Linked DNA regions of Alligator mississippiensis. The protein of the gene in region 4 interacts with the protein of the main gene of each other region in a biochemical or structural test. Links are inferred from orthologs where the notes say so. Each region holds a gene or a part of one and is shown on either strand. Other genes may lie near its edges.

Region 1 (7,566 bases), on a different chromosome or scaffold from region 4:
CTCTGCTCCCTGCCCAACTTGCTGCTTTATTTCTGTTGCCTGACTAACAACTACTCCACTTGGTGCCCTTTTCCCTGCCTCCCACTGTGGTCCCTGCTACCCAGCCAGGGTGGTGCACAGGACCTGGGGTTGGGCCTGTGAGCAGGTCAGAGCCACAGGTGGCTCATCCAGAGGGGCGTGGGGGAGACAGTAACTCCCCACCACTGCATGCACCCCCTTGGGGAGGTAGGGCATGTGCCCCCCCAGACTTGTGCCTAGACATGGGCTCAAGGTTCTCTGCTCTGCTGCCTTTCCCACAGGAGCCCCACACCGGCCCCGCATTGCCTGCCTGTCTGGCAGCAGTGGGGGCAGCGAGTTGTGTGCCCCACTGCTGGGTGGGCAGGGGGCATGGGGCCAGCATGGAGCTCCTGGGGCAGAGCGCCCTGAGCCCACAGAGAGCAGCCCACATCCGCCTTCACTCTGCTCAGCTCAAGCGTCCCCGCACTTAAAAATGGTGGCGGCAGCACTTGAACTAAAGCTCATTCCATGAGCTTCAGTTCAAGCACCCCGCTGCCAGTTTTAAGCACAGGGATGCTGATGCATGTGACGCAGGAGGCTGGAGTGTGCCAGAGAACAACAAAACAAACAAAACCAAGGTTTATTTCTGTCAGTACTTCAAAATGCCTTGCATTATTACTAAATATCAGTTATCAGATCGGCATCAGCCAATATGGTTGGTTAATAATTGGCTATTGGTATCAACCAAGAAAATCATTATCTGTGAACCCCTAGTTTCATTATACTGCATTCCAATGTTTTATTCTGTTTTTATACATTATGTAGTTGCTGTAAGCCACCCTGAGCCTTCTCTAGAAAGGGTTGCATATAAGCGTAATCAAAACACAGATGTTTTTCCTCTTTCATTAGAAAATAAGTCTTACAGGGTTAAGACACAATACTCCTCTTGAACTCAGTTTGCATGCCATGCAGCTTTAACCTGTTCGAGCAAGGCAAAGAGCTCTAAAACTTCTGTAAAAGTAGTTCACCTTAAAGCAACAACGAGAGCCAGGATGTCAAACTGCTACAGTCCCTCACATCGGTGCTATCTGCAAAAACAGATCCTTGTTTCTACATCCTGCCAGCACATATTCCTTTTCTTTTATATAGTATATACTGCAACATAAGCACTGGCTTGGTGTTTCATGAATTCCTGTATTGTTGATAGAGATAGCTTATATAATATTACAGACAGTATTAGAGCAGAAGAGATCACAGTATCAAAGGCTAATGCCATAGAAAAGACGAGCTCCTTTAGCCTGATGAAGCGTCATTATGGACATTTAGGGGAAGAAGCTGGAACAGGTTTCCTCCTTGTTTTCTAGAAGGAAGGAATAAAGAATAAACTTCTAGGAATTTCTAAGAGGAAAATCCATGAGCCATTATAGTAAGTTCCAACAAAAATAATATGGCAAGGGAGCGCAAAAAGGGGTGAGAAAAAACCACAAACTCTTGCACAACACCAAGTGTGACTAATATAAAACTTCACTAGTTTGATCCACCACAGAGGGCTCGTACGCCCATCCCTCAAAGTCAGCCAAGCCTTTCTTCATGAGACTGACTTCTCCTTCGCGAGCCAGATGAGGGATGTTTAAGTTCACAAGTTTAAAGTGGTATTAATGCAGGACTTCCATTTCGGAAGTCGACAGCGAAAACAGTCACTGTATCATAACCTTTTTTATGGAGACCGAAGCGTAGGAGAATGCCAGACAAGGTTACAGGAGAAGAGTTGAAAGAACTTGATTGTTTGACACAGCACAGCCTAAAACAAGCACTAAGTCCCAATATCAACCGGGACCTATAGAGCAGCCCGTGGGCGAGCAGCAGCCCCTGGCACCCTGCTGCTGCGCCCACAGGACGGTCTGGGGGGCGGCAGGCTGCGCGCTGGACCGGCGGGCAGAGACGGCGGGGGCTGGGGCCACGCGGGTCTGCTCCGGGCTCCACACCCGTCGGCCGGCCGGCCGCGCGGCAGGGCCAGAACACGAGTGCCCCCGACCCGCGGCACCGCGCGCTCAAGGCAAGGAACAACCCCGAGACAAAGGCACTTCTAAGAAGAGCTTTGCCCGTCCATGCTGGCAAGTTAAATATGACTTATTAATGACAGGACTTGGTTCCTTGCTGCCGGCGAGGTGAACGCGCTCTTGTCTACGCAGCCGCACCCGCAGGCCTTCGCCTCTCATGTTTTATTGGGAAAGATAAGAAGTAATAAAAAACAAAAAAAACAAGAAAAACTTTCTCTCCCTATTTCTCCCCAGAATAGGGTCACGAGGAACTTGGCTGAGGAGAAGGGAGAAGCGGGGGACGAAGCTCCAACACCGACCGCTCCGGTGTCTCTCGGAGGACTCGTAGGGGGCGGCGAGGGGGGCCGCGCGGCCCGGGACAGCGCCCGCCCGCCCGCCCGCCTCTCCGCAACTTTCCTGGCGCCGCGTCTCGCCGCCGCGCCGCGCCGCGCCCGGCCGCCCCTCCCCTCCCCTCCCCGCTCCCGGCCGCCGGCTGAGGCGCAGCCGGGCCCTGCTCGCGGCTTCCCCGCCCGGCCCGGCCGACACTCACCGATGAGCGCCTGGAAGAGGCTGCTCTGGAAGATGCCGATGACGCGCTCGAGCGAGCTCCGCAGCTGCCGGTCCTCGGCGTGGCTCAGCTTGGCGCGGTACTCCTCCAGCAGGCGCAGCGCGCGCCGGGTGTCTGCGGGCGGCACGGCACGGCGCGGTCAGCGGGGGGGCCCGGCCGCCCGGCCGCCACCGCCCGCCCAACTCGCCGTGTCCCCCTGCCCCCGCCCCGGGCTGTGAGGGGCCCGCTCCCGCCGCGCCCCCACCTTGCTTCCGGACGGGCATGGTGCCGCCCCGCCCGTCCCGGGGAGCGCGGGCGGGGGCGGCCCCGGCTGGACTCGTGGCGGCCGCGCCGCTCCCGCTCCCGGTGCTGCCGCCGCCGCTCCGGCTCCGCCGCCGCCGCCTCCCGCTCGCGCCGCTTTGAAATTCCAAAGTTTCCAGGCAAAATGGCGGCGGGGCCGCGCGGCGCCCCCACGTGACCGGCCCGCGCCGCCCAATCAGCGGCCGCCCCGCGCGGGGCCGGGCCGGGCCCGGGGGCCAGGTGAGCGCTCCCCCGCCCCGCCCCGCCCCGCCCCGCCTCAGGTGCGCCCGGCCCCGCCCCGCCCGGCCCCGCCCCGCCCCGCAGGCCCCGCCCCGCCAGCCGCCGCAGCGCCACGAGCCGGGCAGCCCCCGGCCGCGACGGGTCCCCGCCTCCGCACCCGCCCCGGCCACGCCGCCACGGGCGTCGCGGGCACGTTGGCACATTGGCACAGGCATCGCGGCCACAGGCATGTTGGCACGGGCGTCACGGGCACGTTGGCATGGGTGTCACAGGCACATTGACACAGGCGTTGCGGCCACAGGCATGTTGGCACGGGCGTCACGGGCACGTTGGCATGGGTGTTACAGGCACATTGACACAGGCATCGCGGCCACAGGCATGCTGGCACGAGTGTCACAGGCATGTTGGCACGGGCATCACGGGCACGTTGGCATGGGTGTTACAGGCACATTGACACAGGCATTGCGGCCACAGGCATGCTGGCACGGGTGTCACAGGCACGTTGGCACGGGCGTCGTTGGCACGCCACATCGTGGACATGCTGGTGTGGCGTGGCGTGGCATGGCACGGCACGGGCCACCCCGGGGCGGGTGCAGACGGCGCTGGCAGCCCGACCTCCAGGACGGGACCTGTTCTCCACGCAGGCGGGGTGCACCCAGGGGGTGCGGGTCAAGACCCCCACGGCGGGGGGCCACACCCCTGCTCCAGCCCCCCAGTGCAGGCAGCCCAGCCCAGCCCGCCTAGCAGGGGCCTCCGGGGCTGAAGTGCCCAAAGCAAGCACGTGTCAGCCCCCCCTTCCCCTTCCCCCAGCCCGGACCTGCCTGTACCCCCACCGGCCGCCCTTTCTCCCCGTTGTGTTGTGTGGGGGGGGGGGGAGCTGGAGGCAGCCTGGCTGGGCCGGGGCTGGGCTCAGCGGGGAGGGGACCGGCAGCAACAGGGCAGCCGGGGAGCAGTTCCCCACGCCGGCCCAGGCAGGGAGGGGGAGCCCCGGCCATCCCTGCTGCTCTTTCTCCCCCCCCCCCCCCCGACCAGGAAGGGCTCCAGCGCTTCCCGTCCCCAGGACAGCAGGGCAGGGCAGGAAGGAAGGAAGCCAGGAGAGGGGGAGGCGGTGTGTCTTTGAGCAGGAAGGGGGAGGGAGGGAGGATTTTCACCTGCTCTAGGAAGTCCCCCACAGTGCGATCCATGCCCAAAGGGGGGTGCAGCCATGCCACTGTACCAGTGCTCAACTTATGGGGGAGCTCGGTGGGGCTGAGCCGGGCCATAGGACATGACAGCCCCCCTGTAAAATTTTAAAATCATAACCGGGGGGGGGTGCCTCTGGTTTTATTAGGGCATCATGATGGGCAGCCCCATTTTTTTTGCAGACCGCCCCCCCAGAGTCAAAGTGCAATTCGGACCCTGCGCTGCACCCTCAGGGATTTGCCCGACGGTGCCACGGCTGTCCCAAGCACAGGGAAAGTCTGTGATGTCTCAGCTACAGTTCTGTTGCAATTGTGGGAAATGGTGACTTTTTCTTGGAAACCCTTGTCAGTTTATTGAAAATGACAGAATCTTAGGTTTTGTGAAAGCTGATTCTGAGAAGAAGGGAAAAAAAGGGAATGTGGAATCTAAATGACTGAACAATACCGCATCCAATTCCTTGATGTCATATTAGTTTGCATTGCAGACTATTTCTAAATGCCAGACAGAATTTGGCTTTCTGTCCTTCGAACAGCAGTTCCTTGTTGTAGTCATAGGAATAGCGGTACTGTACTTTCATCGTGGCTCCTGGGAGCCCCGGTCATGGGCTGAGACCTCATCGTGGTAGGTGCTGCGCACGCAGAGCAAGACAGACCTGCCCCAGAGAGAGCCAACAGGAGGAGATGAGAAGAGAGGCAGATGGGGCAGCACCATGCGTGAGACAGTACTGGTCGGCATGATGTGCAGGATTCATAGAAGAGACAGCCAGGGGACAGGGGAGACTGTGGCAGATGTACAGCCTCTCAATCAGAACCTCCTAGACCTTAAATGCTGGAGGCTGCAAGAGAGAGGAACAACAGGAAAAACCCAGGTCAGACCCAGTTCACTCCCCCTTCCAACATCTGCACTCTGCCCCGTGTGACAGGAGATGGGGCAAGATGGACCTATGGTCGAGGCAGCTGCACGGGGCAGGCGGGAGGGCTCAGCTGCGGGTGGCGATGGCACTGGGAGGGTGGCTACGGGGGCTAAGGCAATCTTTGGGGTGGCTGTAGCCCCCAAGCACCCCTAGCACCACCCCTGTGGTCGACTCAGTAAATGGCAGTTCTTATGTTCTGTTTTTCTGCCTATAAAAACATGACAGGCGTGGAGAAAGCACATGGGGATTTGCTGTCTCTTACAATACTAGTGTGATGGGACATACAAAGAAATCATCAGGAGGTAGCTCCGAAACAAAGGAAAGGAAGATATTTTTCACACCGCAGGTAATTAACTTGTGGAACTCGTTGCCACAAGAAGTTGTAGAGGCAAATAATTTGACTGGGTTCAAAAGGGGATTGAGCAAGATTAATGCAGAATCTGGGAAGCAAATGTAATAGGGGTACAACCTGCAAATTAGGACTTCCTGGGCCTCTGAAGGATGGAAGCTACAGTGAAGGAGGCGCAGAATCACAGAAGTTTAGGGCTGGAAGGGACCTCATGAGATCATTGGGTCCAGCCCCCCTGCTCTCGGCAGGGAAGACTGGTGGGGTCAAATAACCCCAGCAAGGCGTGCGTCCAGGCTCCTTTTGAAGATTTCCAGGGTAGGTGCCACCACCCCGCTGGGAGTCGATTCCAGAGTCTGGTCACACGAACCGTGAAGAAGTTTTTCATTAGATCCAGTCTTAAACCTTCTTCTAGGAGTTTATGACCGTTGCTCCTGGTTTCCCCCTGGGGCGCTTTGGTGAATAGTTGTTCACCTAGCCCCTGATTCTCACCCCTGATATATTTGTAAGCTGCCACCAAATCCCCCCGAAGTTTTCTCTTTTCTAGGCTGAACAGTCCCATATCCGTCAGCCTTGCCTCGTATGGCTTGCTCTTCAGGCCTCTAATCATACGAATGACTCTTCTCTAGACTCTCTCAACTCCTCCACATCCTTCCGGAAGTGCGGCACCCAGAACTGGATGCAGTACTCCAGCTGCAGCATCGTGAATGCCGAGTAAAGCGGGAGAATAACTTCCTCAGTTTTGTTTGAGATACATCGGCTGATGCATGACAGACTATTGTTTGCCCTGCTAACTGTAGCATCACACTGGTGCTCATATTCATTTTATGGTCAGTGATGACCCCCAGGTCCGTTTCAGCCTATAAGTTTGTTGCGGATTTTTCCTCCCCAGATGGAGCGCTTTACACTTCTCAGTGTTGAACAGCATCTGGTCCTGGTGCTTTTCCCCCTGGCAGCTCTACAGGTCAGATCCAACCCACAGGTTGCAGATCCCTGTGCTAGGTAGTAATGAAAACATTGTATAAAAATACCCACTTAATCTACAGCTGCACAAATTCTTTCATAGAACCGCTGAGCAGTGGGGCCGGCAGGGAGCTCCGGAGGTCACATCTAGCCCAACCCCCTGTCTGAGGCAGGATCAGCCCTGTCCAAACCAACCCAGGCAAACCTGTCAATCTCAACTCCACGCGAGATGACCATCAACCCTGACACGACACAGACCTCACACCCAAACCTGCCACGAGTAAAACGGGAGCCACAGCAGCCAACATCCTAATTCTTTCTACGAAATGTCAATATATGCTCAAGAGACCCTGGGGGAGTGCCATGCCCACCACTCTCGAGGGAGGAATTTACTGTTACACGTTTACATTTACTGACCTGCATTTCTCATTCTCTTTTGGGCAGATTTTCCTACTCTTGCCTGCAGAGCTTTGGTACTGGAGTTGTGATGGCTCACACATCCTTTGTCCAAGCTTTTTAAAGAAATCCCTGCTGGGAGGAGACAGCAGTAGAAGTCCCTGTTATATGATCTCATTAGTTCTAACACAATCCCCATTTCCAGCAGCAATAAAATGAACCCTAAGGGGGGCTTTCCTCCTCTTCATGGGGGAGGAACATGCACGCAGGAAGGGAAGCAGGCCTATTATTACTAGCATTTATAAAGGATCTGCCAAGGTAAGGGTGGTTTGCTAAGTGACAAAAATGTGGCCCGAGCAGAGGGAAAGAAATGCACCACGTGCTTCTCCAGTGATTGTGCAAAAGAATCCACCATAAGCAACAAGTTCATTTCTTTGTAAATGGAATCCCCAAATCTGAGCAGGATTTTTTTTAATGAGAGAATCTTATTACATTGGATCCTGATGCTATGAGTAATGATAAGAGTCTCATACATAGCTCTGACACTGCACTCTCCCCTTGCTGAGTGGTGCTGGAAAAAATCAAATGAGGCCAGAGTGATGGATCAACAAGCCAGGAAGCAATCATTTGAACCTTACTGCAC
Region 2 (7,831 bases), on a different chromosome or scaffold from region 4:
CTTTGCAAAAACTGCCAGAAAGATCTGCTGTACCTCTGTGTGTGTGGTATTTTCCAGTGAACGTTTTAATCAAGAACATCATCTGTAATCACCTACATTAAATTGCCTGCACAGCAAGCATGTTCCCACATGGATCCAATCTTTTATTTTCAGGTTAATAAAAGTAGTTTTATCTCCCAGTTATTTGGAAAAGTTAAACCAAAACTTCAGTAACCAAACCAGCTATCAAACCCACCAAAAGAAAATCAGGTGATTCCAGAAGTGATGGAAAAAAATCAACACTTGGTGTTCACACAAACTTTTCTCTTTTTCCCCTAGCAAAGAGAAAGCATTAATTATAAAAGAAAAAAGAAAAATATTTCATGAACAGCCCTAGGTAAAATGAAAAGGAAGAAATGTCTTCCTATTATTTCACTTTCAGAGGAAAGCAAGGAAAACTGTACCAAAATGCTGATGTCATAAATGTAAAGAAAAATATTTTCTTAGTAGCCATACCATGAATATAATCAAACTTAGCCAAGAATCTAGAAAGCATTAAATACATTCTCCATGTTTTGGTAGTATTGAGCTGATGTAGCTTTGATGAACCAGGAAAAATGTGGAAGGCAAAAATTTTTGTCCATGATATCTTTTATTGGATCAACTGTATAGCTGGGAAGGACATAGACAAGCTTTCAGGTACCACTGTACCCTTCCTCATGTCTTTTGAGGAAAGTAACCTGATAATCTCACTTATACCCTGTTTTTATTAAATGCATGGAATTTTGCACAAGCCTGTATTCTCTCTGCTATGCATCTTTTATTGGACCAACTGGAGCTATTACTCCAAAAGTCCTTGCCTCTTAAATATAACCTAAACTCAGGAAAAATTAGCACTGTTATTACTTTAAAGTTGAACATCCAACGACTTCCCCCCCACCCCCCATCACCACATTTTATAGCTTTTCCTCCCCAAAAGCTCCTAAAATCAACTCTGTATGAATTAGACTTAGAAACAAGATCCTACAAAGTTCACTTATGTGCCAAAAAAAAACTTAAGTAACTTAAGGCTGAGAATTGGAAGAGAGATCTCTTTACGATTGCTGTGTTAACCATGTTTTATATGCCTCTGACACAGTATTTTGGCACATTGGCAATTAAAAGTAAATAGGTGATCATGCACATGCAGAGAGAGCATAACTCAATTTGGGGGATTGGGAAAGCAGTACATTAAGTGAAAATATTTCAGTAACAAAGGAATATATAATTTTAAAGATTAAACAGTGAAAGTTATGGAGGGTGTGGTACATAAGCTACCCATACCAGAGACAATGTTTTATACTACATAACTAAACTGAACAAAACTGTCAATTAAAAAATATACTGCCATGTATTTTTTAAAACATTAAAAGACACTGCTGATTACCCAAAAGGATCAGCTTCCTGATTACAACTAACACTGTGGCAATGAAATGAATGGAATTCTATGACGTAGCTCTTAGCTGTAAGCAGTAGTGAATTCCACTTTCATCATTAAAGAAGGGCCTTATCATAGCTACCATGGTGACAAAACACTAGTGTAAAACGTTGCAGCCCCAACTATAAGGATCTATTCTCCTGCACATCATTGAAAAAATATGAAGTGTATCATCAGACAACCAAAAGGTCTGAAAAAAAACAAATTTCATCCACAAACACACTGATTTGCAACTACTTTTGTCATGCACTGCTACAGTTCCCCCCCTTAGAAACTAAAGTCATTATTGGGAATGAAGCACTGCTTTGGAAAGTGATCGTTCTTTGTAAAAGGATTACTCTATTTAGGCTTCAATGCTTTTCTGCCAAGCCTAAGCCATATAAGGAAGCTGAAGTTCACTGCCATCTATTTTGTTCCAGTCCTTTCAAGATGTTTATTGCTGCCTGCAAAGGTAAACCTGTAAGCTGTACACCGATCAGATGTTTATTACCGATATACCTGGTGTCTAAGATCAGCTGAAAGTTGTCATTTTTCTACTAAAAAAAAAGCTATCAAACCAGTCTGTCAGACGAACAAAACTTTCACACAAAACACAAAGCTGCCTCGTTATTTAACTGGTGCCTTGTCTACCTCTGACCGCACTCAGACCCAGGTGTAGGTAAGTTCACACAAAAAGGAAAGCTTAAGATGCCTTGCTGCAAAACTCAAAACTGACCCCCTCCCCCACCCAATCCTCAACACCACAAGCAGCCGGCACTGTACACCCTACCTCATCTCATCGCTCAAAACAAACCGCTGTCTGTCAGGTTCACCTCACAAGGGACAACGGCAATTCCCACTGGTTTCTACCAACGCAAACAAGCCACTCCACAGCCTTGGCTTCCCAGACCTTTAAAAAAAAAAGTTCACAGCTTCCTGCTTCCTGGACATCGTCTCTCTCTTCCCTGCTCAAGCAGCGCGGGGACCCCGGTATATCTAACATGTGGCAGCTGCTCCTTGAGCCCCCTTAAACCAGAGCAGGCCGGAGAGCGCATAGAAACTTGGCTCCGTAGCGGTGTGCCGGCTCCCCCACGGCGCACAGCAAGCAGCAGCCACGACACGGACGTAGCGGAGCCCCGGGGACGGCGCCCGCGGGCTTCCCCGAGCAGTGCCGCCGGCAGGCGGGCGGGCGGCCTCCACCTGGGCGCTAGGAGCTGGCGCAAGCCCAGGCTGGAAGTTGGCTCCGGTCCCCAGCCCCGCGCCCCGGCAGGGCCCGGCCGCCATCCGGAGCCGCCTACGCGGAACAAAGGAAGTTGAGCCCCGCGGGCCCCGGCCGCACAAAGGGCGGCATGAGGCGCCGCCGCCCGCCCCACGCGGCTCGCCCGCCCCTCGCCCCGCTCACCTCGGCCCGGGCCCGGCGCCGCTGCCGGGAAGCGCCACTGCCGCCGCCGAGCTTCCCCCACGGGCGAGCGGCCCCGCAGCACCAGCTCCTCCCCCGCGCTAGGCCGGTGCCGCGCCGCGCCGCGCCGCCCAGGCCCCTTATTGTCCTGCCGCCGCCGCCAGGGGCCCGGGGGCCAGCGCAGCCCCGCCCCGCCCCGCCCCGCCCCGTCTGCCCCTCCCTCGCCCGGCGGCGGCGGCGGCGGCGCTGGGAGCGCGGCTCGGGGCGTTCGCTGCCTCCGCCTCGCCGCACACGGCAGCGCCCGCACAGCGCCGCCCAGGCCGGGGGGGGCACTGCAGCAGCGGCGGCGGGAGGTGCCGTCTCGTCTCGCCTCGCCTCGCCTCGCTCCCACTGGCTGCCTGCGAGCGAGTGGCAGCGAGGTCCGCCAGTCCGCGCCCGGCCTGGCCGCCGACAGCCAATGGCTCCGCGCCGAGGGCCGGGCGTAGCCTGGCTGTGACGCGGAAGGAAGCCGGGGCGGTGCTGGGGAAGGGGCCCCGCGGGTTTCTCCCCTTGGGCGCGCGCGGGAGCTGCGGTGGGCGCCGCTCGCAGCCCTGGGCGGCAGGAGCCGAGTGGTTTCGGGGAAGCTGGCCTGGCGCGGGGAGGAGGCGGCGGCGGCTCTCCGGGCCACCAGCACAGGCCCTGCCGTGGGGCCTCTGCCCGGAAACGGCCTGCGAGTTGAGCTGGGCTGGGCTGGGCTGACGGTGCAGCCAGCAGAGACCTGAGGAAAAAGGGCTGGCATCGGGAAGCTTGTCTGCCTTTATTCCAACTACGTAGTTGGCCCAACAAGCCATCATCACCCTAAGGAGTTCTCACTTCTGTTGTGGCAGCCCCAGGGCGACACATAGCAGGTGCACGGGCACCCCTTGAGCATGGCAGGGCACCCTCTACGCTGTCCGCAGTGCCTGCAGGCGGGCACCACTCGCCACCCCGCCGCCCACACCACCGCCGGTGAGTGAGGGTGGTCGCCAAACCTTGGTGCTTGCCATCCTCCCCACCCTGCCAACAGTACCCGCGGCGTCTGCGGGATCTCCCTCGCTTACCACAGCTGCACTCCCGCTGCCACCGTGCCCTCCCAGCCAATGGGGGCATGCACTGCTTGTGGCAGGCAAGGTTCTTTGAGTAGGTGTGATATCTTTTATTAGACCAACTGAGTAGCTGGAAAAAAAAAAGTTTACAAGCTTTCAGGCACAGTCACCCTTCGTCTGACTGTGCCTGAAAGCACATAGGCACATAGGGAGTCTCTGCTGGTCTAAGACTCCAAGGAAATGAGAGAAGCTAAAAGTATGACAGGATGTCAGTGACAATGTACATGGGTGGAAATTAGGAAAACAAAAGGTAGGGAAGGGAAGAGAGGGGAAGAAAAAACAGGAGAAAGCCTGAAAGCTTGCATAGAACTTTTTTCCAACTACTCATTTGGTCTAACAAAAGATATTGCATTTACCCAAATAACCTTACCTGCCTATGTCTTTAGACCAACATGGCTACAACCAAAAACCCAGCTTGCTTCTGTTATAATTTATGGACCATCACTTCTACACTTTCACGAACTCTAATGTATCACCACACACAACTTAACAGGAACCGCAGTTCACGGTCACCTGGCTTCAGAACTCCTCTGCATGTTCGCACTCAACAACATGTTGCACCAACTGTTTGTTACCTTTTCTTTCCTTGAATGCTCCCCCTCCCCCCTGTAATTTAGCTGATTGACTGCTTTTGCCGAATCCTAAAGGAAGTCCTGGAGCCTGCAATTCTGTTGTGCTGCAAAGTGGACAGCACAGGCAACAGCAGGGCAGACTTCTACACGCTGCTCACCTTATGTTCCCTAATTGTGTTCTAGGGGGACCACCTGTAAGGACAGAGGGAGTTCAGTTTTCATGCCCATTTAATCTTTGGCATCTCTGCTGGGACTGCCTTCAACTCTGCCAATAATTTTCTCTTGTCAAAACCTGTTGACTAAGAATGGGACTAAACATCAACTTGTTTTTATAAGCCGCCTAACAGACATCAGGTAGTAATGACTTGTCACTATCAGCCTACATCTGAGTCCAGCAGCCAGCCTAAAGATGAAAAGCTCCCCAAACCATTTCTAACCGTGCGGGCCACCATTTGACTAATGTTTGAAGTGCTGGTGAGGGTAGTTTAGTTTACAATAGCAATGAAATGCAGTTGATCATATTTAAATAAATACACGTTTGTGCCATTCAGAGGTTTTATTAGAATGTTCTCATGTGTGAATGGGAATTGCCCATTTCACTGTCTAATGTCAGACATCTGGACATAGGAACTTGACATGCATGTATATCAGCACTATGCATTAACTTAGTTTAGCTCAACTTATTTCTCCTCTATTTCTCAACTAATCCCCTCTTCTCAATTTAATAAAGCATACATTCCTGACTTAGAGCTACATTTATGGCAAGCTTCAAAATTTAAACACAATCACTGGAACCAGAGTTGGAAAAAAAATCCTAATTTTTCTTCCTTGAAGTACAAAATCACCACTAATCTCTCATGTTCACATAAGCTATTTTCTTCAAATGACTCACATTTGGACAAAGACCAAGTATGAGAACCTTTAGTCCTTAAAGTTAAAAGTGCTTGAAAACAGAGGCATAGAATTAAAGTACTTTCTCATTTATCAATAGAGTCACTACAGTGATGCTACAATAGAATTGCTGAAGTTTCACCTTGCATGAACAACTGAGAGTTCCTTTCTGATAGCAACACTGTATCGCTATAATTAACGTTATTACAAGACTATACTTCTCTCTGGTGACCTACTTATTTTCATGAACAATTTGAGGCACCTACCTGGAGCATGAGCTTATCCTGCCTTTTGTTTATGGTGGGATGGTTGTGTGGCAATGTTTGCTGTAAATTACTTAACACATCTGCTAGTGGAGTGTAGGAGATTCACAGTGGCTGTCATTCCCATGCAAGATCTACTATTATTTCATTTATAGTTTCAGGGTAAGATTTAATTTTACTTGTGGTATGCACCATCCAAACCCAAACAATATAACCACAAATTTTAAAAAAAGTATCTTAGATCAGAGCTCCTCGAGACATTTTATACAGACAAGATTAAACTATTTACACAAATTACAAATATACCAAAAGTTATCCTAGGGATATAAAACGGCTATAAATATCAGAATAGTATTTAGATTACAGCTAAAGCACAGTCCACTGCAAAAATTAACTCCCAGACTTGGTATTCCAGTTACCACATAATTTACATGTTAAATATACAACATACAAACTCTAAAGTAATATAGCAAGATATCTTTAGATGGGGCCATGCACATAATTCTATGGAAGGTTGAAACAAATTCTTTAACTAGGTCTTAGGCAGACAAGGTTCCTTGGGTGAACCTTGTCTGCCTATGTCCTTAGACCAACACGGCTACAACCTACACCCCTGCAACCTGGAAGTTAACTAGGTCTTGATACTAGACACCACACCCAAAGTTTTCTGATTCTATATTTAAATAGCAAGATTAGCAAATATTGCAACAGCAAACTACATAACTGAAAGAAGCTGCCAAAACAGTCACATCTAACATGTATTTTTCTAAATTAAAAAACTCAAATGATTCAGAACAGTATACATATTGCTGCACCATGTAACCATATGTTCTTATTCCTTGTTGCTCTTTTATGCCTACTGTTTGTTACACTCATTTTCTGCATCTTTTCTTAACTTGCATTTGTATTCTAACTAGCATAATGGGCCCCTGATTCTAGCTGGTATTTCTGAATATCACTACAATACAAATACTAAATCGTAATTATGAATTAATATTAATAACTACAATTAAATGGACTAAATTAACTAACAGGTCGTGATGCTTGTTTCCAAGCTGGTTATGGACAGGACAGTAAAGCATCTAGCTCTTACAACTGTCCCTCCCACTGGTGGTACAGTCTTTCTAATCAAACAGTTTAAAAAATGGCGCTTTTAAAAATTATCTTTCTTAGGATTATGACTTAAGTTGCATTCCACTTTTTGACTAAAGTCTGCAAACACCTAACAAATCAAAACATTAAAACCATCAAATTGTACGAGGACAAATTTTAACCAGTTCTGTTCCAGAGAGATAAATCGTACTTTTGAAAGAGCCACCTGGCTACCATGTAGAAAATTGCTGCATTATAGAAGAAACACCCCCTCCATGAATTGCACACCACTGTTTATGACATACCATCCCTCCCTGGATCCTATATGGAAAATCCTCAAGCAGTACTAGAAGGAGACCCTATTTTTAAAGAGTTCTTTCCAGAACCACCTATCCTAGCTTTAAACAAGCACCGAACCTCGCCAACTTCATCACCAGAAGCAAACTTCCTATGACCCAAAACACACCAAATGGATCCAGACCATGCTATGACAAGAAATGTAAGACCTGTCAACACATCTCTACCACCCCCACAGTTCCTATACCCCACAACAGAACCATCAACGTTCCTGGATCTTACATCTGCATCTCCAGAATTGCAATACATCTCATCCAATGCACCGATTACCCTGATGGAAAATATGTTAGAGAAACCAAATAACAACGGTGTACCAGAATAAACACACACCGAAAATCTATCAAAGACAAGAATACCCAGTTACCTGTGGGAGCACCTCTCTCACAAGAAAACCAATCTCTCAGTTGTAATCCTCAAAAGGAATTTACAAACAACTTTTCACAGACGAACCTTTGAACTTCACTTTGTCAGTCTACTGGATACAAAACATAATGGAGTAAATATAGACATTGGATTTATGACACATTATAACCTGCCTAACATCTGACTCCCCAGATTACCTGGTAAAAAGTGGAGAGTTTTTCTCATTCTCTTCCCCCAACTCTGTATCCATTGACTACAGCTACATTCATTTCCTTCCCCCCCCACCATCTGTCTCACCTACTGACCACTTCAATTTACATTTTAACTGACTGACT
Region 3 (7,249 bases), on a different chromosome or scaffold from region 4:
AGAAAGTACTGGCAAGATGTGCAATGCAATCTGGAACTTCAGATTTTGCATTTCCTGACTTTTAGATTTCAGTTCAGCATTAATGGTGCATTAACAGATGTTTGGGGGATTTTTGTACATTTTATATAATGGATTTTGTAAATGGGCTTTGGAATTCCTTGGGATAAAAGCACTATATGCATTATCTGGAGATGGGCACAAAAACAGTTAACAGAATTAAAGAGCAACTCCTATATTGACAACAGCAGTTATACTTTAGAGCAGCATTTCTCAATTTGTGAGTCACAGCCCAAAAGTGGGTCACAAAAATATATAAAGGGTCGTGAACAAATTTTAAAACTGGATCAACGCCTTTTAAAAATCGATTCTCCTTTAAATGAGAAAAACATGGGAAACTGTGGCTTTTCCTTTGCAGGCTGGCAGAGTTCCAGCCTGCAAGGGGCTGCCTGGGTGCCCCCGCTACCCCACACACCTCTCCTGCCCTGGGGGGTTGGGGCATGGGGGCAGGGGGCAGTGGGTAGGGAGTGAGGGGCACTGGGTCAGGACTGGCCATCAATGTTTACAAGAAAAGTCCTGGTACAAAAAAGGTTGAGAACCATAGCATTAGAGCTCTCCTGCATCATAAGACTTCTTCCTCTAAAACTCTGGTTAATATTCACCACTTTTAATTTGCAACTCAGCTGGCCTTTCAAGAAGTAAAAGGTGTTTCCTATCAGGATTAGAGTCTAAACAATAATAAAAAAAACCCCAAAAATTACTATTACTCATTTACAGCTGTTATTTTACTTTGGTTTTGAAAGGGAAAACTTTACTTTTTTTAAATTAAAGAGGGAAAAAAATGAAGATTTTTAAAAGCATACTACAAACCTTGGCACGGTTGAACTAAGCCAGGTCTGAGATGGTCCTTACCTGTCTTTCAGGAAGGACCCCAGAGTGACACTGGATAGCTTCATCCATTTTGTTTCACTACATGAGACTCGTGGCACAGATTGGGAGGTACTGGCTCGGCTGCAATACTGTAAGCATTCAGACGAGATGCCAACCATTACTGAAATACCTTTTTGTTAGACACCAATGATCCAGGGGCACTGATTTCATTCAGCATGGCTGACATGTGAGCTTGGCCTTCCTAGACAGTTTTGAAGTAATTTAGATGGGATGTACTATGGTCTAATGGAGGAGACGTGTCTACCACCTCAGAGCTCAGGCTCCCTTGTAACCTTTACAAATTCACTCTGACCCTGGCTGTGGACCCACATAACTTTAAGCAGGAAGAGAGGGATAGCTTGCCACTCAGGGTATGGACGCACATACATCTGGATTCAAAAGGGAAGCGGCTGTTATGTTCCAACCCTGAGGTCTGAACAGGCTGAGAGCCCTATAGATGTAGGAAAACCACTCCAGCTTCAACCCTGGATGAGGCAGTGTTAAGGTTAGATCAGTTTTGTCCCATCTGTATCATCCTTGGCTTGCCCAAAGGTAACAATTAAACCAGAACAGCTGCTGCTCTTTTGGAATGGCTCCAAATAGAGGTGTGTCCATATCCCCAGCTGTAACGTCTGTCTACTCCTACACACTAAACCCCCGTAACTTTATAATAATGAATGAAACAGATTTAAAGTTAACATTTACAGCAATCTAAGTTCCCTATACCAGTATAGAATCAGACAGGCATAACAGATTTTATTCAGCTATACCTATAATTTAATGCTGGTATCACTACTGTATCTGTCTACACCCCCCCATTTTTCAGATTCCCGCTGACATACTGACATGAACACACTCCCCCAAGAAGTGTATGCTGAAGAATAAAGGAAGAACAATTTTACCAGACACTAAAATTATCTCTCTCTTGTGGGTGAAAAAAAAGTTTGTTTTACTAGCTTTATGGGTCAGCAGAGAAAATACTCCTTCACTAAGTTGTTGTTTCTTTCTTCCATCAGCCTGAGGAAAAATCAAGATGAATCTAACAAGTTACCAGCTTTTTTTTCAAAAGAACAAATTTTAGTTGCCTTCATGTCAATGCTAAAAGTCTTCCAAGGCTTTAAGTACTGTACTGTGACTTGAACACAACCTTGGCGAGTTGTTAAAGGGGTACAAAAGCCTTGGAAACATTGCAAAAACCTCAAATAGAGCCATTTTGAACCCGAATCTAAAAAGAAAATCAAACAATCAAGTCAGCTTGCTCACAAGACTTTTCTAGTCGCCAGTGAGCATTATAAAACATCAAACCATACTGGGATTTCTGTTGGACTAAGCACTAGCAGATGAACGTGGAGCGTACATAGTACATTGCAAGTCCACCTCGCACACATACTTGTTGTGCACTTTGGTTTCCAGAGGACAATGTCTTCAGGAGTGAGGCAAGACTCTCCCCTCCATTCGGGACTTTACCTGGCCATGAGAAAAATCTTCCAAAGTAATAACTATGTGGGATAAGCCATCAGAAAGAGTCCACAGAAGAGCAAGAAAAATGAGCAGAGATCTAGAAGGCAGGAAAGCTGGAAGAACGGGGATTATTTCACGGAGAGGAGAGAGGATCTAGGGCAAATATAGAAAGAGTCTTCAAATACAAAACTGGGGGGGCTCGGACCACGCAAAAAAGTCGTGATCACCTCGGCAGCCACAGGGGACAGGAGCTTAAACTGCAACAAGCAGGACTGCGGTGGGCTCCGGCGCTTGTGGGGACACGCTAAGGACAGAAAAGGCATGTCAGGGGCTGGAAGAAAGAAACACCCTCAGCTGCAGAGCCCGAGCAGCTCTCAAACTTGGCACGTCAGAGCTGAGGGGGGGAAGCCGCTTTCTGCACCAACCCCCCCCCCCCCAAAAAAAACCCCAAATCTCACTCTGCCGAGACACTTGAGCGCCGGGGAGGCCGGGGCAGGCGCGGGGGAGCGGGGCCGGCCCCGCGCTCACGCACTCACCTCCCCGCGCGGCGCGGGTCCCGCGGGGGCGGCTCGTGCGGCCGCTCCGGCTCCGGCTGCGCTCGGCCCCGCGTCCATGGGCAGCGCGGGGCCGCCGGCGCCGCCTCCCCGGGCGCGGGCAGCGCTGAGTGGCGGCCGCAAGCCCCGCCCGCCCGCGCCGGGGCACAGCCGCCACGCGCGCCCGTCCTCCCCGCGGCTCCTCGTGGGGCTGGCGGCTCTGCCCCCTGCAGCTCCGAGCACAGTGCCCCTCTCATGCAGGAGCCACCGCCTCCCTGCAGTGGCCTGGGAGCCGCGCCGTGCCTGCCCCGGGCGCGCTCGTGCTGAACCCACCATCCCCGTTTTGTCTTGTGTTGATTCCGCAAGCTCAGTGGACGCGCTCCGTAACCCCGTCCGGTAGCGGGGCGCGAACCCTTGGCCTGTGGGAGAAGGCCCCTGTTCCCCAGAGGCGTCGAACAGGCCCGTGCGTGTCCCGCAGCCCCGCTGGGGAGCCGCTGGGCATCGTGCGGGGCGCTCTGCTTTGTGTCCGCCCTTGCCGCACTTGTTTTGAACCTAGGACCTCACTCCTCTTCCTGCTTTCTCTTTCGTTTTCCCACAAAACCGATCAACTTATACCGAATAACGGGACGGGGGGCCGTCAACCTTTGCCCCACAAGTGTTAACCCCATGGTAACCCTATGTGTTAAATAGGCTTGGGTCACACAGTCCACTGGCTCCTTGGACTCGTTTGGGGCCAGTGGGCACTACCCCGTGTACTCTGCTCCGTTCCCCCCTTTGGCGCACTCAGTCTGAACCTTTGACCATCGCTCCCATCCCTGTTTTGCCTTTTCTTTTCCCAATAAATGTGGTCTTATTTTCTGAGCAGCAGCCCTTTCCAAAGGAGGTTTATAGTTCTTGGTGGACAACGGCCCATGATCCCTTGACAGTAAAACAGTCCTGTGTCAAACAGCGGCAGAGAGGGAGGCTGAAAGTGGCAGTGAAGTACGTCTGACAAGGGGTTTTTTTTTCTGTTGTTCCTCTCTCATTTGCAGCCTCCAGCATTTAAGGTCTAGGAAGCCCTGATTCAAAGAGAGATATATGGGGGAGGGGGCAGAGGTAGGAGAGGAAAGCATTAAGTCCAGAGGAAGAAAGGGGTCACAAACTAATCCAGGGAATGTAATAAGAATCCACGTCTGTATTGCACTTAGACCATACTAAAGGCACATAAAATGCCAGCATCTGCACCTTAAAGCTTCTTAACTTGTACTAAATGCCCTCTGAGCATCTCAAAGTTATGCTATTGCAGATGTGGGTTATCTCTGGGCCATGCTACCTAGCTCATGTTAGGTAACTTCAGGCTCCTCCACAGAGATCAAATGAGCAATTTGTAGTCCTCCGGCATCCCAGGATGCAATGCACCCTAGCCTCCCCTCATACCCAGAGCAGAGATAAGGGCAGCCCTCATGTAGCAAGTCAGAGCTGCTCAGGCAAGAAATGGTGTTAACTCTTGATAGGCAGCCGTTCACAGCACGTTCTGACTCCAGTATCATTCAACATTAGTACGGTCTAAGTTTACTGTGTAACTTAAGTCAATGCATGATCGTATCCTGTCTTTTGGTGACTGGGCTGAGGAAGTATCACTAAGCCAGGAAAAGGCTAGATCATGCTAATCCCTTTTAAACTGTTGCATGTCACTCAGAGGGCGCTTCTACACATGTATTAAAGTGCTTTTCCTAATGCACATTAAACTTAGCACCTCCAATGTGAGGTACTAAATTAATGTGCATTAGACTGCCTTCATGTGCAGTAGTGCCAGCACATGCTTTTGAGGTGACACTTAATGCTCAGTAGCCTATTTTACTGCACATTATCATATTAGCACTTTTTTTACGCACCACTTTAATAATCAGTAAAATAGGCTATTTTGCATTAAAGTGTATGTGTAGACATACCCAGAAATATTTACTGAAGCCCTCCCTGTTTCCCCAAGGCCCTCATGTATATTGTGCAGTGTCACGGTTTCATAGGCTCAGAGTTATTTTTAGAATTTTTACAGATCCTTTAAAAAGTCTCTTTCTCCTTTCTTTTATCTCCTGCTTTATCCTCAGAAGGGATCTGGGTGTTTGGGAAAGATTGTACAAGTCTGAAATGAACAGTGACTTACGCTTAGAACATAAATGTAAGTTAAATTATACCTTACCTAAAATAGTCTTGTCTTCCTTCCCTGTTTTATTACTAACTTCAAATTATTCAAATTGAGCATCTTAAAAATCCAGTTTGATTTGTGCTCTCTGATTTTTGCATTTTACTCCTTCTGGACACTGAATCATAGAATTACAGAAAAGCAGGGTTGGAAGGGACCTCCAGAGGTCATCTAGTCCAACCCCTTGCATAAGGCAGGATCATCCTTATCCAAACCATCCTACACAAATCCATTGTTAGCAAAATTATACAGTTAACCTTGACACAACCACAAGACATAACACTTTAACCTGCCACAGGGAAAGCATGGAGAACACAGGAAAGGGAAATGTCCAGCTTTATTTCATTTCTAGTCAATTTCTCTTTGTGAGTCTCATGCCACGATGTACTAGGATTTTCAGACACAGACAAGGAATAGTCAAATTAAAAAGAACTGGGGCATAGTAGTGTCCCTTAAATGTTTTCTTTATTAAAACTATTTTAGATTTATTGCTTTTTAGTCTTTCTCTCTTACCAGGTACAGTGCCTTATCATACTTTGAGGGTGATGGTTTCTAGTTATTTTGTCAGAAAACTGACAAGGAAAGTTTAGCATTTAAACCAGTGAGTTGTCTGGCAACACTTGTTGCAAAAACAAAAATCTCAGCATAAATCCATAGGAGTTAGGATTGGTCTATACTTGAAATTCAAAGCAGGTTGACTTGAGGTGTAATCTGTGTAAGTACCACGTATCCACAAAGAGCCTTTCTTGTTCTGAATCAGATGGTGGTTGAACAGATGGAAAACCTGGAAGATGGAAAACCTGGAGGAAAAATTTACCCACAATGAAGTAAGTGTGGATGCTTCTTCATCTCATGGCAAGTGTTGCATGTCTTCCAAGACCTTCCACAATGTCCCATGCTGCCTTACTAGCTGTCTGGATCACCTGCCCACATGTCATCTATTCCTCTGACTGGATGGCCCCAGCAAATTTAAATTCTGGTACATAGCAAGACTCCATCCTTTGTAAGCCCAGCTCATAGGGAGTCCGGGTATGTGTGTCATACTCCTAATTAGTCACTGCTTATGCCTTGCACTGTGGTCCCATACTGAGATGCTTCTGTGAAGACGCTTTATTTTGTCCACCTGACCAATGGTAACACAGAACAGGTAATATAAACAATATGACAAATGCTGAGTAAGGAGCCAATAGGGGACAGTTTCCAATGTTGCATAAAGACAAAGGCGCTCCAGCTGGCCTGCATCAATGCTCAGTGCACCATGCCCTTAGAAAGAACTAGCAGTCTGCTGTCACCATAGGGACTTTGCTAGTCCAATATTCCACCAGCACCTTTTGCGTGGAACTTCTGGAGGCTGAAAAACAAATGCTGGATTTCTTCGAGACAAAGCCTTTTGTTCTATGATCCTACAGATGTGCAAGCCCATTGTCCCACTTTAAGTGCCTGTGAAGTACCTATGAAGTATCAAGATAACACTCCCCCCTAAATCACTGCTAATCTGAGTTACTTGCTATTCAGGCTCCCTGTGTCTTATGCTTGTTTTGATGCAAGGCGAAGCCTAGGACCTGGGATAAACCCAACATCTATTTTTAGACTTAGTGATCCAGAAACTCCACATCTTATCAAACCAGTGAATCTGGTAAACCCAGAGCAGGACAGAGTGACAGAGCACCTGAACCCTCTCAAATCACAGGTGGGAGAGAAACCTGATACACAAGCAGAGACCAGAAATGATACCATTGCATGAATGAACCAGGGCATGGTTCTTAGACAGGCATGTTTATTGGAGCAACACATGCAAAAAAGAAAAAGCCAAGCATCATATTACCAGATCAAGTCCTAGATCCAGCAGAGATACCCTTGTAATCACTGGTCTGCCTGCTACAGAGGTACCCCACTGAGGTAGCCAAATCCCCTATCCCTGCAGCCAACCCAACATTATGTACTCCTTTTCCCATGTTGGCAGTTGTTCTGTGGATACCCCTTTACACCACAGATTCAATGGGTCTTACATAGTTCTTCCTTAGCTTTCCCCCATAGTGCTAACATATAAAGGGACAGAAAGAGAAGATAGGAAAACAGAAATACAGACAATCTTGCTGGAGCACATGACATTCATAGTTTGCACAGCATTATGAAAGTGCCAGAG
Region 4 (7,625 bases):
AAAATACTTAGTGCATTGATTGAACCAACTAAATTAAAAATGCACGTAGCATACTGCAAGTGTCCTTTATGAATATTTTTTAAAAACAACTGAATTAATACAGCTTCCAAGGCAAAAACTGTGGGAAGGGGAGCAGGGTTGTTCTTGTTTTTGCTTTTGGGGTATTTCTCCCTCTGAGAATAGATGTGATTTGCAAGATGATGCTGTTCACCAAAATATGTATTATGTTCCAATAATCTTATGCTCCAATTTTAAGTTTTAAAAAGAATTGCCAAAAATAATTACCACATTAAAAAATAATTCTACCCCCCCACCTCCCCCCGAAAACTATTCAATAAGGCAAAAAAAGGTTTATTCTCCTTTCCTGGTCTCCCTTCTTCAAGTAGGATTTATAAAAAAATTTACAGTCATCAAGAGAATTAAAGGCAAATTATAAAATATTACTACCTTTACTAATACCACACCTATTGCTTCAAGCAGTTAGTTTTATACATAATTATATACCACATGCTGGTTTGGACTGCTGTTTAAAATATTAGTATGTAGAGGAAGATTAGAAAGGAAGCATAGAATAGTCTTCTTGGGACTACATACTTAGAAAATACAACAGTACATTTGCCCTATAGATTTTTGTGTGTGTGTTGGCATCTGAAAAAAGAGCATTCTTCCCCTCCCTCCTTACTTGTCCCCCCTGCAAAAAATATAGTGTTCCTATACACAATTTAGAATTTTACACTGGGAGCACCCATTGATCACAGAAATATTAGTTTGTGCTGCAACATCTTAGACTCAACAACTTCAGAATTCGTTTCACTCTTTCATTTCTTCCCCTCTCAGAACCCCTAATCCAGACAGGGTAGACATGCTCTACCTACTAAATCACGTCTACCAATATGCCTACACTTTTTGTATGACTCCTGCCGATTAGTATACACACAGGCAAACTAGTAAATGCAATCCATCCTCAGAGGCACAATGTGTCAGCTATAAAACATCTGCATGCGTCATTACAGTCAGTCAGAAGTGCTTGTTTGAAGGTATTTGTCATTTTTCTTCCGTTTATTTTGCTTATTGATCAGGCAGGAAAATCCATAGCTGTGCTCCCTATATTCAGCAACAAGGAATATTTTAGGAGTGAAAAATATCTCTAAGATTTGGGTACTGATATGTGGTTGTCACATGGGAAGAGAGAGCCACACATTTAATCCTTTAGTTGTGCTCAACACGCATAGCAACTAACAATCATCTCAGACCTTTTGGATTTAAAGCAGTTCAATAATGCTATGAGTTTACTGGAGAAATATATTCCTCTTTTCTTAACCACTCTCCACACTGATTAACAGATTCCAAATAGCTAAATTTATCCTTCTGATCATGATGCCCTAGTAACAAAACTGTCCAAAACAATGTGTCAAAGCAGCAGCAGGCATAACAGTCCCCGAATTGATTTAGCTACTACTATGATTTCTTTAGATAAATGCTATGTAGACTTTGACTGATTTGTGCCAATGCTCCTCCTGAGGTTTCCAACTACAGGGTCTTGTCCCTCTACAAAGGGTTAGACCGATTGCCATGTTTGGCAACAGAAAGGAATTTTACCCCATGGTCAGATCGGTCTGGGCTGTAAGGGGGTTTGCCTTCCTCTGCAGTGGAGGCATGGCCTTCTACCTGGGATCTCTTGAGCTTGTACTGACATTTCATAAAAGCGAGAGGTTGGCTGTTGCAGTCCCCCTGCTCTACCTGTGGCAGGTTAGGGTGCCAAGTCTGTATTGCATCATATTCGATGGCAGTCTTACATATGGATTGTACAGGACGGTTTGGATAGGAATGATCCTGCCTCAGGCAGGGGGTTAGACTAGTGTAGTCACTAGATGACCTCTGGGGTTCCCTTCCAGCCTGACTTCTCTAAGACAGTCTACCATTGTAATTATTACCTTTTAACTCACAGAGAAAGAAAAGCCACAGACAAAAAATAACCGCTATTAGACCACGCTCAGGAGCATTCTGCTACCAAAGTTGGCAAAACCTCTTCCTCCTCCGCTCCTCTCCCACCTGCTCCAAATCACCCCCTGGCAAACACCCAGAGAAGCAGCTACGATGGTTTGAGCAGCAGAATGAAAACTCCCGTCGGGCTACAGAGCGTAACGGTGGGAGAAGACATGGTGGCAAGCGGTCTCCTGCCGCGGTGCTGCCTTGTCTCAGCTGGTGGCCGACACGCCCCGTGCACAGCTCCCGGTGCCAGACCGTCCTCTCTGTCCCATCCCTGCCACAACACTGCCTCTCTGTTCCTTCGAGTGACGTGAGATATGGGGGTCTCGCTGCGGCTCAGGAAGATGAAAAGCCGCAATTCAGGAGACAACAAGAGGTGTCCAGGCACCGACAGCAATTTCCCACACCCTGCAGCCACAAGGGCTAGGGGAGGCCGCGCTGCGGCACCAGGCTGGTCCGACCTCCCCGGAGCCCCAGCATGTTTCAAGCAGGAGCTCAACTTGGCGCGGGAAGCAAAGGCCGCGGGAGGAGGGGGGGGGGGCAGAGTCCAGGACTGATCTCATGGCGGGCAAGTGCCGCGAGCCTCTAACCTGAGCGCGGCGCAGGCGGGCGGGGAGGCCGCCAGGCAGATGCTCCGGGGCCCTGCGGCTGCGGGAAGCGGGCGGGCTCCTTCCCGGCGCGTTCCTCGCATTCCTGCGCCCGCCCGAGCCGCGGCTCGCACCTGCCCAGCCCGGCAGCGCCCCGCCCCGTGCCCGGCCGCACGCGGGGGCCGAGCACAGCGCGGGCTGCGGAGCCGAGCACTGGCCACGGGGCCGCGCCGGAGGAGGCTCCTCGGGGCAGCGGGAAGGGAAGGGACGGGACAGCACGGGACGGGACGGGGCGCCCAGTCCCCGCGCCCGCCGCACTCACCGCGCAGATGCAGGCGCCGGCGGGGTCCGGGCGCGGACGGGCCCAGCGCAGCCCCCGCCGCGCCGCGCGCCCGGCCCTAGCCCGGGGTCTCCATGGTGCCGCCGCTGCCGCCGCGTCCACTCCTGGCCGCCCGCTGGCTCCGCCCCCCGCCCCGCGCGTCACGCGACGCCCTGCCCCGTGCCCCGCCGCCATTGGCCGAGCCCCGCGCAGGGCCGCGCGCCATTGGTCGCTGCCTCGTGTGAAATCAGCCAATGAGGCGGTGACTTGAGGTTGCCAGGGTTACCGATGCTGTGAGCAGGCTGTGTGGAAGGGGCTGCGGGTTCTCCGGGCGCGGGTGTGTGCGGCGGCAGGTTGCGGGTCCGTGCGGGGGAGGCGGTTGCGGGTCTGTGGGCGGACTGAGCCAGCCGCGCTTACCTGCATCTATCCCTCCTCGCTGCTGCCCTCCGTCCAATCTCCCCCCGCCGCTGCAGTCTCAAATCCTGCTGCTGGAGACGTCTCTCTCTCTCTTTCTCTCTCTCTCTCTCTCTTTCCCTTTCTTTCTCCCCTGTTTCCCTTAATTTCCCCAAATTCCTGGGATCCAGACCTGAATCAGTGACTGACTTAATGTCTGATATTTTGTGACCTTTAAACACCGAAGTGGTTAAGCCTTGGGCCCCCTCTCGCTCTCCTTGGTAAAAATTGTCGTGCTGTATCTATTTAACTCCCTCATGGGTGAAACTGACTTGGCTCCCTCAGTATCAAGGCCTGGGGAGCCCCTAAAACTAGAGGTCTTGTCAGTTCCAGGATCCTTACTAAAGACTTAGGCCACTCCGGAAAAACAAGGCCGCAGGCCTTAATGAGGTGTAGGCTACTCCTGTGAGTAATAAGCAGTGTTTATACTGAATTTTGGGGTAAGTGTTTAGCTGTCTTTCTGTGCTGTGGCTATGTCCTTCACCTTATTCTTGGGTGGTTACTGTATGGCAGTTGAAAGACAAGGAATAGCTAAACATGTCAAGCGGCAGATAACAATCTTTTGGAGCCCCTGGTGGAAATAATCAAGCTTCGGTCTGGTCTGAGGTGGGCCAGTGTCCCAACCCTGCCACCGCTCTTCCCTTCTGCTTCTTCTCCCTACCCCTTAGGTGCAGCACAAGCTCACCCCTTTCCACCTGATCCTGGCTCAGCTCCTTGCTGCCCAGCACAGCTGTGGGCAAGGCCCCCTGGCTCTACAGGCAGGATCCAATGGCTGCAGAGGCCAGGTGTGGCCTGTGGACCATATATTGCTGACCCCTGAGTAAAGTCATCTATATTTCTGAAGGAGGAGGGGCATCTCTTGCACATGTGATTTCTGTCTTCCCACCTTTTGCTTCTGAAAATAGATATACCGATTGGTTCTGTATTTCCTCCTGGTTACAGTTATAAGTTTTTTGTCTCTGTAGTGTTTGTTATTGCCATAGGTTAAAGGAGTCAGCAGGAAGAAATCTGATCAAACATCTGCAGGGAATAACTTGGTGTGTATAAATAGGGTTGCTGATTCTTCACAGTTCCAGATGCCTTTCTGACGCTGCCACACCAGAATGGTGGCCTAATTGCAGAAGTGTCACTGACTATCCAAAGTGCAGGGCAATGGAGAATCAGGCCCAAAGTGTTCAATCTGTGAAATCCCACATGTGTAAGAAAGCAAGGTTAAGGGGGAGGAAACATGAGTCAATAGGGAGAAGAGAAACATGATTAAAGAAAAGGTGAGTGGCAAAGAGGAAGGAAAGCAAGTTAACTGAGAAGAGGTACCAGAAAAGAAAAGGGGAGTAGAAAATGGAGTAGCAATTGTGGGAGGAGTAATAGAAACGGTGCTAGGGAAAGAAAAGAAATATCTGTCCCTCCAGAAGCTAATTGGTCATAGTTGCTAAAGATGACTGGATTAACTACATCAATATTAAATCAATGCAGGCAAACTGCTGCAAAACTTGAATGATCAAATTGGCTTAGCTTTTACTGGTAACTTCTCAGAGTAGTTCAGTGCCTTCCTTTACTGTGGACACTGAAGCACATCAGAGCATTCAACTAGTGTCAGCCCTAGTGGAGTGAAGGGACACTCGTAAAAGGCCGAGTGGCTGTGAATTAAATGCTGGGGAAACTTATGCAAGTACAGAAATGGAAAAAGTCCAGGAGAAGGATAAAGCACCTAGGAAGCCATTGCAATGGCCGAGGTGGCTGTTCAGAAATGTGTGTTCTCTTAATCAGAAAAGTCTAAATTACAGTTCATAAGATGGAACAACCAAAAGACAACTCTGTCCTGAGGGAATAAATCAATTGTTTGCATATGTTCAGCCCTTCACCGGAGTCAAAACTCTGGAGAGTGACTTCTACTGCTGGTAGTGTTGAAGCCCGAGTTCCTCTTCTACTTGATCTTGAGACCCAAAGCCTAAGAGATTCTGCTTTAAGTTCAACTTTGTAGGGCAGCAACTCTTGTGAGAAATCCTACCTCCAGTTAGTGGGGAAGGTAGACAGTCAGCTGAGTTGTAGCCTGTAGTGTCTAACACACTGTATGTGGGTTCACGTGCCTCTTTCCTCCTAGATGATAGGAAGGAGACAGTGGCAGGACCCAGTCCCAAACTCAGACCTCCCAAAGTTTTGGAGTGTCAGAATTGTATGTGGGTACCTAAAAATCAACCCATACCATCTAAAGAAGAAGATAGACATGTCTAATTTCTTTTTCTTTGAAAACTAATGAAACGTATATGTTGTTTGGTTATGGAAATACATACTGTAAGAAACTTCAAATCATAAGAGGTTTTAATATATGCTCTGACTGGGAAAAGTGCTAAAATGTTCCCTGTTACCTGAGGAGCACTTCCTGTTTGGCTTTTTTTTTTTTTTTTTTTTAGGGAAAGAAAGATGCATGTATTTTGTGTAAATCTCTATTTTCCTGAGTTTCCCCGGTCATGTTATCTTAGACCCACAGAATTAAAGCAAAAGAAAGCCTATTGGATAAAATAAGCACAAAGCAAAAACCCATTCCCCCTCCTCCCTCTCCCACTGATAGCCCCAGAGCTTGAGGGGAGGGGAGAGGCAGGGTCCCATCTGCTGGCCAGGGCAAGCAGGCTCCAGCCCCTACCCCTCTGTTGGGGCAGGGCCTCTAACTCATGGCACTTTACATAAAGTGCCACGAGTTAGAGTGGGGCCGTAAACATCTGTAGGCACCCTAGATGTGGGTTGGCTTCTTTGGAAGTAATAGAAAGACAAGGAATTATTTTGTGAGGTTCCATTAGGTTTGTAAGGGTGTTGAAGCACTTCTGTTTTACCAGTGAAACACAGTAAGTTAATGATAACTAGTCATAGTCACAGGGGTTTAGGTTGTAGCCATGTTGGTCTAAGGACATAGGCAGACAAGGTTCCTTGGGTGAATTTGATATCTTTTATTAGACCAACCCAAATGGTTGGAGAATAGTTATTAAGCAAGCTTTCATGCATTCATGTATTTAAAAAATAAAACCAGTGATCCCTCTTGTTTATTTAGCTTAAGATTCTATATGAAGCAAAGATAAGTTATTAGGTCAAAATATCTTCTATAAAGAAATCCAAACTTGATGTAAAGATATTAAGAGCTGAAGTATTTACCCTTTTCCTTGATGTGCAATTAAATGGTTAATAATTTTACTCGTAAAAATCCTGGCAGCACTTCTATTTTGAATTTGTCTGGTTTAAGCTTTCATCCTTTAATTCTTCTTGTGCCTTCTTCAGGATTTGATTTGTGAGTATTTTTTTACAGTCTCAGTGCCATTAGGAAAGGACCTTGCCTCCACTGTATTTGTTAGCAAATACTATGTGAATCTTTGAGTGTATATGTCCTTTCCCTCTTAAAGCTACCTGGATTGCTGTGACCTCTTCATCTGATCTCTGCCAGGATTCATTGTATCTTTCACTTTTTTGGACAAGAAGTTTAGTTGACTGCTATTTGACAGTTCTATTCTTGCTATGATTCTTGCATCTTTCAAATCATTAATGTTTTTCTGCTTCATTTAACCTGCCCTGGAATTAAAGCCAGATTCCAACTTGGGCTTTCACAGATGTTCTCGGTGCTTGAAGAATATTAGCATGACCAGTTTTTAATGTCAGTTGATACTTCTACTTTTTCACAACTACCTGGAATCTCTTATTTGAATGAGAGCAAGAGAAGTACCTTTGCTCATAAGTAGGTAGAGTAGTAGCTACATAGGACCTGCTTTCTGGAAAGGAAGGATTATAAAGATAAATAGCAGTCTTGAAAACAGTTCTGCTTTGTTCTTCTGGTTTTGCTTAGCTGTATTTATTTTATCTATCGTCTAACTCAGATGCTGAAGTTACAAGAATTTGAATATGTTTTAAGTATTTGGAGGAGAGAGTGCATCTGAACAAATGAAGAGCTATTTAGCATTCACAACAGAAAAAATATAAATTATTTTTCGTTAAAACTTAGTTTGCTTTAAAATGATTTTAAATATTTTTGGGGGGGGAATGGAGATAGAGGGAAATCAAGACAATTGAAACTATTATGATACACCTTTGGCTCATTTGTAAACCACAGTTGGTTAAAATGCAGTAAATAGTGAGTGTGAAATAAATCCAAGTTAATAAGAAGTTTGTTTTCCAAATATAATGTCACAACACTGAGTTGACATTTTTTTTTTCCTCAGTGAGCATTTTTTTCCCATTTTTTTAAATGGTGCCATACCTCACTATTCTACTTAATTTTATTTGGTTACCATATTTCT

Evidence for each region.
Region 1: the proteins of PKP4 (region 4) and DLG1 interact in a test that uses a peptide from one of them, tested with the Homo sapiens proteins (2 studies listed by IntAct, with this or other methods). The link is inferred for Alligator mississippiensis from reciprocal best matches to the Homo sapiens genes PKP4 and DLG1.
Region 2: the proteins of PKP4 (region 4) and ERBIN form a complex in vitro, tested with the Homo sapiens proteins (4 studies listed by BioGRID and IntAct, with this or other methods). The link is inferred for Alligator mississippiensis from reciprocal best matches to the Homo sapiens genes PKP4 and ERBIN.
Region 3: the proteins of PKP4 (region 4) and PDZD2 form a complex in vitro, tested with the Homo sapiens proteins (2 studies listed by BioGRID and IntAct, with this or other methods). The link is inferred for Alligator mississippiensis from reciprocal best matches to the Homo sapiens genes PKP4 and PDZD2.

What each region holds. Positions count from the first base shown.
Region 1 is NC_081830.1:89,480,277-89,487,842, reverse strand, and holds the start of DLG1 (disks large homolog 1), read right to left. Parts: upstream 3,001-7,566; 5' UTR 2,868-3,000; coding exon 2,849-2,867; intron 2,719-2,848; coding exon 2,587-2,718; intron 1-2,586. UniProt on the Homo sapiens protein: Essential multidomain scaffolding protein required for normal development. Recruits channels, receptors and signaling molecules to discrete plasma membrane domains in polarized cells.
Region 2 is NC_081826.1:260,483,011-260,490,841, forward strand, and holds the start of ERBIN (erbin), read right to left. Parts: upstream 3,020-7,831; 5' UTR 2,838-3,019; intron 1-2,837. UniProt on the Homo sapiens protein: Acts as an adapter for the receptor ERBB2, in epithelia. By binding the unphosphorylated 'Tyr-1248' of receptor ERBB2, it may contribute to stabilize this unphosphorylated state.
Region 3 is NC_081826.1:281,623,040-281,630,288, reverse strand, and holds the start of PDZD2 (PDZ domain-containing protein 2), read right to left. Parts: upstream 3,012-7,249; 5' UTR 2,925-3,011; intron 1-2,924.
Region 4 is NC_081827.1:222,273,570-222,281,194, forward strand, and holds the start of PKP4 (plakophilin-4), read right to left. Parts: upstream 3,007-7,625; 5' UTR 2,899-3,006; intron 1-2,898. UniProt on the Homo sapiens protein: Plays a role as a regulator of Rho activity during cytokinesis. May play a role in junctional plaques.